Caenorhabditis elegans: one gene and its partner. The protein of the gene in region 1 purifies or fractionates together with the protein of each later gene. This does not show direct contact. Each region holds a gene or a part of one and is shown in the gene's direction. Other genes may lie near its edges. The genes, in order: F42H10.6 and chin-1.

Region 1 (3,743 bases):
CTCCACCCACAACGTACTGGTAAACACTGCAAAGAATGTAATACTGAGGAGTGAAGAACTAAGAAAATTGAGAAGAGAAAGAAGAAGCAGGCAAAGAAGACGACTTTGTAGACTCCGGAGGTTCCGTTTCACACTCCCATTGTGATGATGATGATGATGATTCGGAGCGGCGGAACTAATGTCCGTATTGTTGTTACTGGAATGTCCGGGGCAAAAACTGAGATAAACACTAGATATCCAATACACTTTTTTCTTTTGAAAGTCGAATGATTTTCAGTTGAATTGAAGGATTTTTTCCTTTTTCCATCTTTTGAGTTTGAAGGGGTTGCCTAGATTGAAGACGTAGTCTTTTCGAAAAAAAAGTTTATAAACAAAATTATGCTTACTTTCTGAAATTATTCTCCACCAATCAGTTGGAAAAAATGCTTCGAAAATTTTTCGTGGGCACAACTGTTATAGACCTGAAGATTTCCGTTTTTTTTGCAAAAGAATACGGTATTTGGTCTCGAGACGACCAAAAATTGTATTTATAAAGGAGGTCGCAAAAATGAGTGTGCGCATTCAAAAAGTACAGTAGTTTTTACTTATGCGAAATGTGGAAGAAAATGTGAAAAAAACGAGAGATTCCGAAGAATTTCAAAACTACAGCATTATTTCAATGCGCACTTCATTGGTGGTACAGAATCGTTTTAAAACATTGGGTCGTGTCGAGACCTCGGTTTTTTGAAAGCCAATAATTTGCCAATAAAGTAAAGTGACAAAAGAAAAGCGGGTTAGTTGAAACGTAAAAAGAGCAAAAATAGTGTCCTTTTCGATTTCATTTTCCGGAAAGAAGAGCAACGAGTACGACAGCTGACGTGCAGTGTGAGCAAATGAAATGAGTCACTGAGATTCACACTTAAAACAATGCTAATTATATTTTAAAGAACATTGGTCAGTTGGTAAGGTATACTGTATTACCAAGAAATCGTGCATTACAGGTAAAAGAGTTTTTACGGATATACAATGTTATACATTTAACAGGCACAAAATAACTTTGACTAGGAAAAAAGAGGAAAAAGGATAGAGAAAAACATGTTCAGTTCAATTCGAATCTATTTCAATATCCGCCCTCCACATTCTTTCCGCATGAGAAGGCACATTTATGTTGACAAAATACAATTATTATCTGTGGCTTGAAGAAATACAAATCTTTGAATGAAAACCAACACAAATTGGAAAATATTTTGATTTTTTTGTTTGTTTAAGATAAAGAAGAAACTATTTGCAATGCCAATGTCCTAAAACCCTTGTCGCACGTGGTGTCAGGCTGTTCTCATTGCGGTTTGATCTACGAAAAATGCGGGAATATTTTTCCAGAAAAATTGTGACGTCAGCACGCTCTTAACCATGCGAAACGAGAAGAGATGTATGCGTCTCTTTTCCCGCATTTTTCGAAGATCAAAACGAAATGGGACTTTTTGACTCCACGTGTTGTCGTTGTGTCTGTGTCTGATATCTCTCGTAGCCATCTTTTTTTCCCGTTGCGGGTCAGATTGTTCTTCGGATGAGGATTGTCTTTAGAGAATAACCTTGACATATCCCCTCAACTTGACACGTTTTTATGTTTTTTGCGCTTTCTCGACCGTTTAAAAAATGTGTAGAGTTACTGTAGACTTAAAGGCACATGCACAAAATTTTCATCTACAACTTGTTGAAATGCGCTCTACCGCAAACATTTTTGTTTCTTTTTTGTGAATTAATTTCATCATTCCGCTCCGGCTGTGAGGGCTGCGATTCCAGTATACTTCGTACTTTTTACTTTGAAACGTTTTCTTTTCTTCAAATATGCGGAAATGCTCCTTTCACTGATAAACTGATAACAATCTCCTGATAATATAAATTAATTCGTCATTTTGCAGATTTTCTCACCTGAAAAATGGTTGGCCACTCCGAGTCTTCTACTGACGCTGTAATTGAACCGGTATGTTACATATTTATTAATAAAAAAGATACATAATTTAATTTGAAAATAGATTTCAGACAAGCGAAGAGCTGCTCGCGGAGCAAGTTCGAGTTTTCAACAAAATGAAAGGTTCCACAAATTTCAATCGAGTGGCTGAAGATGTCAGTTTTTTTTTGATAATAGTTTAAGATTAGGAATTTTTTTTCATTCAAAATATATTAATTCAAAATATAATTTCAGGTTTATCCGGTGGAGGTCACGAAGAGCAAGCTGGTATGTGAAATGGTGGTGCAGCATCAACACTTGAACTCAAAAGTGCGTTTAGTCCTAAAATTTCATGAAAACTTGTTTAAAATACCAGTAAAATTAAATTTAAAGAAAAATGAATATTCCGAAAAATTATCGCAATTTTTCAGGGAACACTTCACGGCGGTCAAACTGCTACCCTGACAGATGTTATCACCGCTCGGGCAGTTGGAGTCACAGTAAAAGATAAAGGAATGGCTTCTGTTGAACTGGCTGTTAGGTAAACTTTGCTCTAACAATAGTATGATTTTAAAAATCAGATTGTAAAGTCTGATGTTTTTTCGCGTAAATTGAAAATGACATCATCTATCAAAAAAAAAAAAGTGGAGCCATCACACCATTTCAAAACTATTCAAAATATTTCAATTGTTTCTTTGAATTTCTCACAAAAATTGAATTAGGTATATTTAAGAAACAAAAGAAGTGGTTTGTTTTCTAAAAAAATCTTTTTTCAGCTACCTTCTACCAGTCAAAGTTGGAGACGTTCTGGAAATCACTGCACACGTATTGAAAGTCGGACGAACAATGGCATTTACCGATTGTGAATTCCGGCGGAAATCGGATGGAAAAATGTCGGCAAAGGGAAAACATACTCTAGCATTCCTTCCAAATCAGCCTGGAATTTCTGTGGAAAATGGCACGCAGTTTTAATTATGTTTGTTCTTTCTTTTTGCATAATAATTGTTTCTTTTGGGTTCGATTTGTGATATAAAAAATATTTTATTGAAACTTTTTTGGAGAATGTGAGAAGCCACCGAAAACGCAAATATCGAGAAAAAATGGGGGAGAACAATAATAAAATACAATGTAGAGAATTTGGGGGGCCGAGAATAAAAAAGGAATATCACATGCTTGGTGCAAGGAAAAGCGGACATGGAATGGAGAAAATAATGAAAGAAGTTTAAAAGTTTAAAAATTGCACATTGGTTTTGCTCAAGAGTTTCTTATTTGAAGGAACGAGAGATGGGACAGAGAGAAAATATTCACCGTTTAATTTTTTTGGATGGAAATCAATAAATACAATAATAAATTATATTTAGAAATGCGTCTTAAATAATGTAGATTTCGAATTATTATGCATACGTATACACGCTCTACGAAACCTCATCAATAGAGCGAGATTGCCGAGTATGCGGGCAAGAAATATTCAAATTTGTCTTAAAGCAATTAATTTCAGGAATTTGTGAATGTTTTGAAACAACGAGCATGAATGGCATTGAGAAATAGAAAGTTCTGGGAAAAGAAGAGACTAGGAGAGTTGGGTTGGAAGAAGCTGCTAAAAATGAATAAAACGACTCGTAGTAGGAGAAAATACTGTATTATCTGACAGAAAAGTATGTAAAAACTGAATATCTAATTAAAAAGTTTCGAAACAATCTGACGATTGAAACGGAGTAAAACTTGCTTCTCAAACTGATCGGTAGAGTCTAAATTTGTAAGAATCAAATTTGTGTTTAAAGAGCTCGAATCCGGTGAAAAGCTTAAAACGCGT
Region 2 (7,812 bases), 7.4 Mb from region 1:
TTCCGGAACTTTTTTACGGCTTTTTAACCAATTTTAAATTTTTATGTTTAAAAACTTTTTTTTTTTGGAAAAAAAAACATAATTCCCTCAATTTTAGTAATTTCGAACTAGAAAATTGGAGTTTTTTGTAATTTTTTAAGCCTAAACCCCTTTTTTTCCACCAATGTCGTAAGATTTGGTGTTTTGGGTTACGGTAGTCGGTGTTTGCGTACTTTTGGGGCTACAGTACCCCGCGAAATTCCAAATTGAGCTAAAAAGTCATACTAAAAGCTGTTCAAAGCTAAACTTTGCGCTGATTTCGAATTTTTAACTTTTCCCGTTGGTTTTTCAATTTTTTGCACTAAAATTTTTGAAAAATTCGATTTTCTCAGAATTTTCAGAATTTTTCAGACGTTTTCAATGTGTTTTTCGGGTTCCTCGTGATTTTTTAGCCCCTCAGCCCATTTTTCAGGGCAAAATCTTAAAATGTCGTAAGATCCGGTGTTTTGGGCTACGGTAGTCGGTGTTTGCGTACTTTTGGGGCTACCGTACCCCAAAACTCCAAAAATTGCGATAGAAAACCCAATTTTAAAGGTCTTAAGGCAGAATTTCGCGTAGAATTCGATTTTTCCAACAAAAACCTCTGAATTTCGCTGAAAATCCCAGTTTTACCTGAGTTTCATAGGAATTTCCGGGTAAAAGTGGTCTAATCGACCTGTCAATGGCTCTGGAGATGAGGATTTCATTGTCAGATTGACTGAGCTCACGACGCAGGAAATTTGTTGGAATTCGGCCAATTGCTGACGCTGACGGTCTGGAATTTTCAGTTTTTAGGCCATTTTTATCGGTTTTTAGCGGTTTTTTCGCAATTTTTTTTCCGAATTTCTCACCGATATTCAACTTGTAGCGGTACTCCACTACCATCTCCTTGCTTGGATTTCCGTTGTACTACTGTAGCCATCACGGCGTTGTCTCCGAATGAAGCAACTACGGTGGATGACGCAAAACGGGCGAGGTGGCCTGAAAAATCAAAATTTTCATGAAAATTCCTTTTCTAGACAGTGGAGAATTTTTTCGCGCATCTTTTGCGGCAAAAATCGGCTCGAAATCTTTATTTTTAAGATTTTTAGCAATTTTTCCCGTTTTTTTTCTAGTTTTTTTTCAAATTCCCACCAGCTTTCAGCTCGATTCCACTTTTTCCATCAAAATCCACTGCTACTGATTGTTCTCGACCCGCTAATCGATATTCTTTCCTGGAAAACTCGCCAGATTTTTATTTTTTTGAATAATTTTCTGACTTACGTGTGAAATCTCTTGGAAATGTGGATTGGCAACCGGGAAAGTTTCATTTTTAATCTAAAAAACTAATTTTTATTCAATTTTTATCGAAAAATTGAGAAAAAAACAGCGAAAATGAGTGAAAATTCAATATTTTCAAGTTTTGAATTAAAAAAATAATTTGGTCGAGAAATGCGCCAAGGAAATTTTGCTGGCGCGTGTCTCGATCGCTGGCACTTTTCGCGATTTTCTTCAGAATTTTATTTATTTTCTAAGAAATTAGCTCAACTTTGCTCATTTTTCTCCAAATTTCTTCGATTTTTTTGCATTTTCAGTTAAAAAATCAATAAAAATCGAATTTTTGCAGGTATGGAAGACGACGGGCCTCCTGGGAGCTCGGGTAAGTCATTTTTTTCAAGCTCAACAAGTTTTGGAAGCTTTAAAAATATCCGAAAAGCTAAAATCTCAAATTTTCCAATTTCCAGGAGCATCAAAAGGATACTGGAAGCAAAATTTGTACCTTTTACAAGAAAAAGCGCCGAAACCCAACGCAGTTTTGTGCCGAAAACCTCTTCAGCAGAGACCTCGACATTTTGGAGCCGAATTTCACGGATTAATCGATAGAAATGAGGTTTTTAGTGATTTTTGGGTGTTTTAAGCTCGAAAATTCGATTTTCAGGCCGAAAAAATGCTGCTGGAGGCCGGAGAAGGCTCGTATTTGGTGCGGGAGTCGAATCGGAGCAGAGACGCGTGCACTTTGTGTATGATTTTTGATGCAAAGGTTATGAATTATAAAGTAAGCATTTTTAGAGTTTAAAAAGCAGAAAAAATCGATAAACATCAAGAAAATACCCGAAAAATATCAAATTTTCCGCTAAATTTTCGAATTTAGTGAAAAATTCCCAATTTTTGTTAACTCGCCGTGGCAAATGCGCTCTATCGGCAATTTTAGGCTGGAAATCTCGAATTTTTGCATAAAAAACTGCGAGAATTCGGAATTTTTCACCTAAAATTGCTCCGCGAGCACATTTGACCACTTTCCCTGGGAACCGCTGCCCAAATTTTCATTTTTAATTCAAAAACTTGGGATTTTTTCAATTTTTAGCCAAATTTTTAAATTTCCAGCTCTACTACGACGGTCAATTCTACGTTGGGGAGAAGCGTTTCGACACTATGGACCTTTTGGTGGCTGATGGGCTCATTTCAATGTTTGTGGACCTTCACGCGGCGGATTATATAAAAAGAATGGCGGATGAGGCGATTTATGAGGATAGGTATGGGAATTGGCGGAACATTAGCGAAAAATAGGCCGAAAATCATGAAAAATGGCAAAAATCACAAGAAAATGAGCCAAAAATTATAAAAATTGAAGAAAATTGACTTAGAATATAAATTCCGTGGCAAATGTGCTCTATCGGCGATTTTAGGCGGGAAATTTCAAATTTTCGCATTAAATACTGCAAAAATTTGGATTTTTAAGCTTTTAATTGCTCACCGAGCACATTTGACCATTTTCCCGGGGAACCTCTGCCCGAATTTTCATTTTTACCTCAAAAACTTTGGAAACATGACATTTTCGCTAATTTTCTGCTTTTAAAGCGTAAAATAGCTCAAAAATGCAAAATTTTCGGGTTTTTGGTTGAATTTTGCTCCAAAAATCGGAAAATAGTGGGAAAAATCTGAAATTTACTGAAAAATATGGTAAAAACTAGATTTCTTGCCCTAACGTTAATTTTTAAATGCTAAAAACTACAAAACGCGTCGAAAATTCAAAAACTGCCAATTTTTTCTTAGAAAATTCTAAAAATTTCAATAAAAAGCTCACTTAAATAATTCAAACCTACTTTCTGTTTTCTCCGTGGCAAATGTGCTCTATCGGCGATTTTGGCTTAGAAATTTCAAATTTTCGCATTAAATACTGCAAAAATTTGGATTTTTAAGCTTTTAATTGCTCACCGAGCCCATTTGACCACTTTCCCGGGGAACCTCTGCCCAAATTTCGATTTTTACCTTAAAAACTTGAAAAAATTAAAATATTGCTAATTTTAAGCTTCGAGAGCTCAAAATTACCGTAAAATTGCCGAAAAATTGAGTTTTCCCTGATTTTGGTCAAATTTTGATGTAAAAATCGGAAAATAGTGAAAAAATATGACAAGTTTACGGTAAAAACTGAAAAATATCCAAAAACTAGTCTTTTTGCCCTAATTTAGATTTTTCAGTGCTAAAAAGCTACGAAACGCGTCAAAAATTCCAATTTTTTTCTAGAAAATTCGAAAACTTTCTCTGAATTTTTGAATTCTCCCTAGAAATTGTCTTTGTACGCTTTTCCGTGGCAAATGTGCTCTATCGGCGATTACGGGCTGAAAATTTCAAATTTTTGCATTAAAAACTGAAAAATTTTGAAATTTTCCACCCGACATTGCTCACCGAGCCCATTTGACCACTTTCCCGGGGAACCTCTGCCCAAATTTTCATTTTTACCTTAAACAGTTTAGATTTTTGCGGTTTTTCCAGTTTTCCCCATAGAAATATCGATTTTTCAGCCCATATTCTCGGTATACGAACGCCGCCGCCACCACTTCAGACATTGTACGCCGTCCCGTCACTCGAGCACACAACTTCACGTCGTACACCTTCAAAGCTCCGCACTACTGTGATTATTGCCGAAATTTCCTGTGGGGATTGGTGCATCAGGTAAAATATTATAAAATATACGCGAAAATTAAGAAAAAACTGGAAATTGTGAAATTTTAGGGCGAAATTCTGGAATTTTTTGAAAAAAATTCATGAAAAAAACACAATTTTCGCAAAAACTGGCAATTTCTTCGGATTTTTAATGCCTTTTTCGAATTCCCCGCACTATTTTACCCCCGGAACTCGTTTTTCAGGCAAAAATCTCGCAATTACGTAAGATCCGGTGTTTCGGGTTACTGTAGTCGGTGTTTGCGTACTTTTGGAGCTACAGTACCCCGCGAAATTTCAAAATTGAGCTAGAAAGTCTGAGTTAAAGCTATTTAAGGCTAAATTTTGCGCTGATTTCGAATTTTATGAAGGATTAGCGCAATTAATATTTTTTCGAGAAACAATTTCAAAAAAATCAAATTTTCCAGGGAATGCGATGCGAGGACTGTGGCTTCGCGGCTCACAAAAAATGCTCGGAAAAAACGCTTCACGACTGTGTGCCCGACTCGAAATACGTGAAACGCATGTTCGGCGTCGACATTACCACCCTGTGCATGGCTCACGGAGCAGATTTGCCGCCAATCGTGCCACTTTGCATTGGAGAAGTCGAATCGAGGGGTCTTGATGTGGAGGGGATTTATCGGGTTTCGGGATCCTATGATCATATGGAAAAGCTCAAGCAACAGTTTGATTCTAATCAATATGTGGACTTGGCTACGGTAATTTGCGCGGGATTTTCAGCGTTTTCCCGGAGTTTTTGCCTAAAAAATTGCAAAAATCCAAAGAAAATGAGCCAAAAATCGTAAAAATTGAAGAAAATTGACCTAAAATAAGATTTCCGTGGCAAATGTGCTCTATCGGCGATTTTGGCTTGAAAATTTTAAATTTTCGCATAAAAAAACTGCTAAAATTTGGAATTTTCCACCCGGAATTGCTCACCGAGCACATTTGACCACTTTCCCGGGGAAGCTCTGCCCAAATTTTCATTTTTACTCGAAAAACTCGAAATTTCACATATTCAGCTCAATTTTTCAAGTTTTCTACTGCAAAATTCACTTTGAAAACCCTAACAATATCCTAGAACCCGTTTTTTGTGAAATTTCAAATATGCACCTATGGCTCAGTAGGTAACACAGATGGCTGCCAAGCACAAGACCGGGGTTCGACCCTCGCCGCGGCGAATTTCTTTTATTTTGCTTGAAATTGATTCTCAGAACGATTTAAAGTTTTATGACTCAAATTTTTTCTTGAAACTCAATTTTTGTGTAAAAATCTGAAATTTACTGGAAAATATCGAAAAAAAATTAGTTTTCTCACACTAAAAAATTCGAAAATTCAAAAACTGTCTATTGTTTTCTAGAAAATTCACAAAAATTTCACTAAATTTTTGAATTCTTCTTTAAAATTGTCTTTGTATGCTTTTCCGTGGCAAATGTGCTCTATCGGTGATTTTGGGCTGAAAATTTCAAATTTTCGCATAAAAAACTACGAAAATTTGGAATTTTCAGACCTCTATTGCTCACCGAGCACATTTGGCCACTTTCCCGGGGAACCTCTGCCCAAATTTTCATTTTTACCCCAAAAAACTTTCAATTTTTCTCAAAATTTCACCAATTTTTTCAGGTTTGCGATATTCACACAGTTTGCGGGCTCTTGAAGCTCTACTTCCGCCTACTACCACAGCAACTGATCCCGTTCAGCGTCCATAAGCAGCTTCTCGTCGCCTACCAGGAGACGAATCAACGATCTACACATGAGAGGGAGCGGCAGATAAGGTGCTGGAAATTTGGGGATTTTGGGTCCAAAATTTTCCCAAAATTGTAGAAATCCCGGTGAAAATGAGCCAAAAAATAGCTTTAAAAAATTTTTTTGGAAATTCCGTGGCAAATGTGCTCTATCGGCGATTTTGACTTGGAAATCTCAAACTTTCGCGTAAAAAACTGTGAAAATTTGAATTTTTCCACCCAAAATTGCTCACCGAGCCCATTTGACCACTTTCCCGGGGAACCTCTGCCCAAATTTTCATTTTTTCTCTCGAAAACTGGAAAACATTCTGAAATTACTGGAAAATTTCAGAAAAGTGATGATGGAGCTGTCCGATGCGAACATAATCACACTTGGAGCAGTGTTGGCGCATTTGAAAAAGGTAAAAATTCAAAATTTCACTATTTAAGTGGATTTTCGAAGGTTTTTGACCTAAAAATTCACTCCAAACCCCCTGAAAATACCCTAGAACCCATTTTCGCGAAATTTCGAAAATGCATCGGTGGCTCAGTAGGTAACACGGATGGCTGCCAAGCACACGACCGGGGTTCGACCCCCACTGCGGCGAATTTTTTGTTTTGATTGATATTGGTTCTCAAAGCATTTAAAAGTGTCGAAAACCAGTTTTAGAATTATTTTCTGTCCAAATTTCGAATTTTTCTTATAAAAATGAATAAAGCCCCAAATAACTTAATTCTAGTCAATTTTTCATCGCTTTTAGGTGTAAAAATCAGTTTAAACCCCCTAAGAATTCCCGGAAACCCATTTTCCGCAAATTTTCAAAAATGCACCTGTGGCTCAGAGGGTAACACAGATGGCTACCAAGCACACGACCGGGGTTCGACCCCCGCCGGGGCGAATTTCTTTTATTTTGCTTGGAATTGGTTCTCATAGCGTTTTAAAGTTTTATGGCTCAAACTTTTGCAAAATTCGCTTAATTTTTTTTCGTAAGAACAAGGAAATATTCTAAAAACTCAACTCTAGTAATTTTTCATAGCTTTTAGGTGTAAAAATTAGTGCAAACCCCCTAGAAATACCCCGAAACCCAGTTTTTGCGAAATTTAAAACTTGCACCGATGGCGCAGTGGGTAACACGGATGGCTGCCAAGCACAAGACCGAGGTTTGACCCCCGCTGTGGCCAATATTTTTTATTTGGCTTGAAATTTAGTTTTCCCCTAAAAAATTAGTTCTTAAGTTAAAAAATTCGAATTTTCAAACAAATTTTCTGGAATTTTTCAAAAAATTTCCCCAATTCCAGGTGGCAGATCACAGTGCAAAAAACAAGATGACCGTCGAAAATCTGGCGACAATTTTCTCGCCGACACTCTTCTGCTCGGGCTCCATACCCGCCATGCCGAACCATCAGCTGCTCCATTTTCTGATCAATAATCCACGTGTCGTGCCGAAACATCATTAATTTATTGCTCCCCGTGGTGGCAAGTGTGCTCTATCGGCGATTTTGGGTCGAAAATCTCAAATTTTCGTATGAAAAATTGTGAAAATTTGGAATTTTCGACTTTTAATTGCTCACCGAGCCGGCTTGACCACTTTCCCGGGGAACCTCTGCCTAAATTTTCATTTTCCTAGATCTATATCTCCCAGTTTATGCATTTTCTTCAGCAATTTCTCTCATCTCTCCGCATACTTTTCTTCATTTACATATCGGGTACCCGTTTTCTCTCGCTTTTGCATGTTTTTTGACCAGTTTTATGCATTTATTTATGATTTTTCCTTATTTTTCACATGTTGTTACGTTCTTATTGCATAATGTTTTTTTCCGAGTTTTAGAATATAAATTTATTGAGCTGTAATTCAAAAATTCTCAAAATTTTGTGATTTTAAGACCCCTGGCGCGTTGAATTCCGAAATTTTCATATTTTTCTGCAGTTTTTGGCTCAAAGCCTTGAATTTTGGCTTGGAACCGATGATTTTCAGTCAGAAGCCCAAACACCGCCAAATTTTTGCTCTGCAGCTCAAATGCTAGCTGAAAATGTTAAAACTCCGTTCAGAACCTGAAAATTTGACTCAGAATACCAGATTTCAGGTCATTTGGCTCCAAATCTCGATTTTCAGCTCAGAACGGAACTTCTATACCTGCAAAGCCCGAT

What was found.
Region 2: the proteins of F42H10.6 (region 1) and chin-1 fractionate together in Caenorhabditis elegans (co-fractionation; one large-scale study listed by BioGRID). This does not show direct contact.

The regions. Positions count from the first base shown.
Region 1 is NC_003281.10:8,477,616-8,481,358, reverse strand, and holds F42H10.6 (Putative esterase F42H10.6), read left to right. Parts: upstream 1-1,907; 5' UTR 1,908-1,918; coding exon 1,919-1,963; intron 1,964-2,022; coding exon 2,023-2,106; intron 2,107-2,185; coding exon 2,186-2,260; intron 2,261-2,361; coding exon 2,362-2,471; intron 2,472-2,706; coding exon 2,707-2,902; 3' UTR 2,903-2,977; downstream 2,978-3,743. Other genes in the region: mig-39 (Zinc finger BED domain-containing protein 39), read right to left, coding at 3,605-3,743.
Region 2 is NC_003281.10:1,031,025-1,038,836, reverse strand, and holds chin-1 (Chimerin 2), read left to right. Parts: upstream 1-1,624; 5' UTR 1,625-1,626; coding exon 1,627-1,657; intron 1,658-1,742; coding exon 1,743-1,888; intron 1,889-1,936; coding exon 1,937-2,053; intron 2,054-2,382; coding exon 2,383-2,531; intron 2,532-3,800; coding exon 3,801-3,951; intron 3,952-4,367; coding exon 4,368-4,658; intron 4,659-5,562; coding exon 5,563-5,714; intron 5,715-6,015; coding exon 6,016-6,085; intron 6,086-6,962; coding exon 6,963-7,121; 3' UTR 7,122-7,515; downstream 7,516-7,812. Other genes in the region: pnpt-1 (polyribonucleotide nucleotidyltransferase), read right to left, coding at 652-793, 870-999, 1,153-1,232, 1,282-1,328.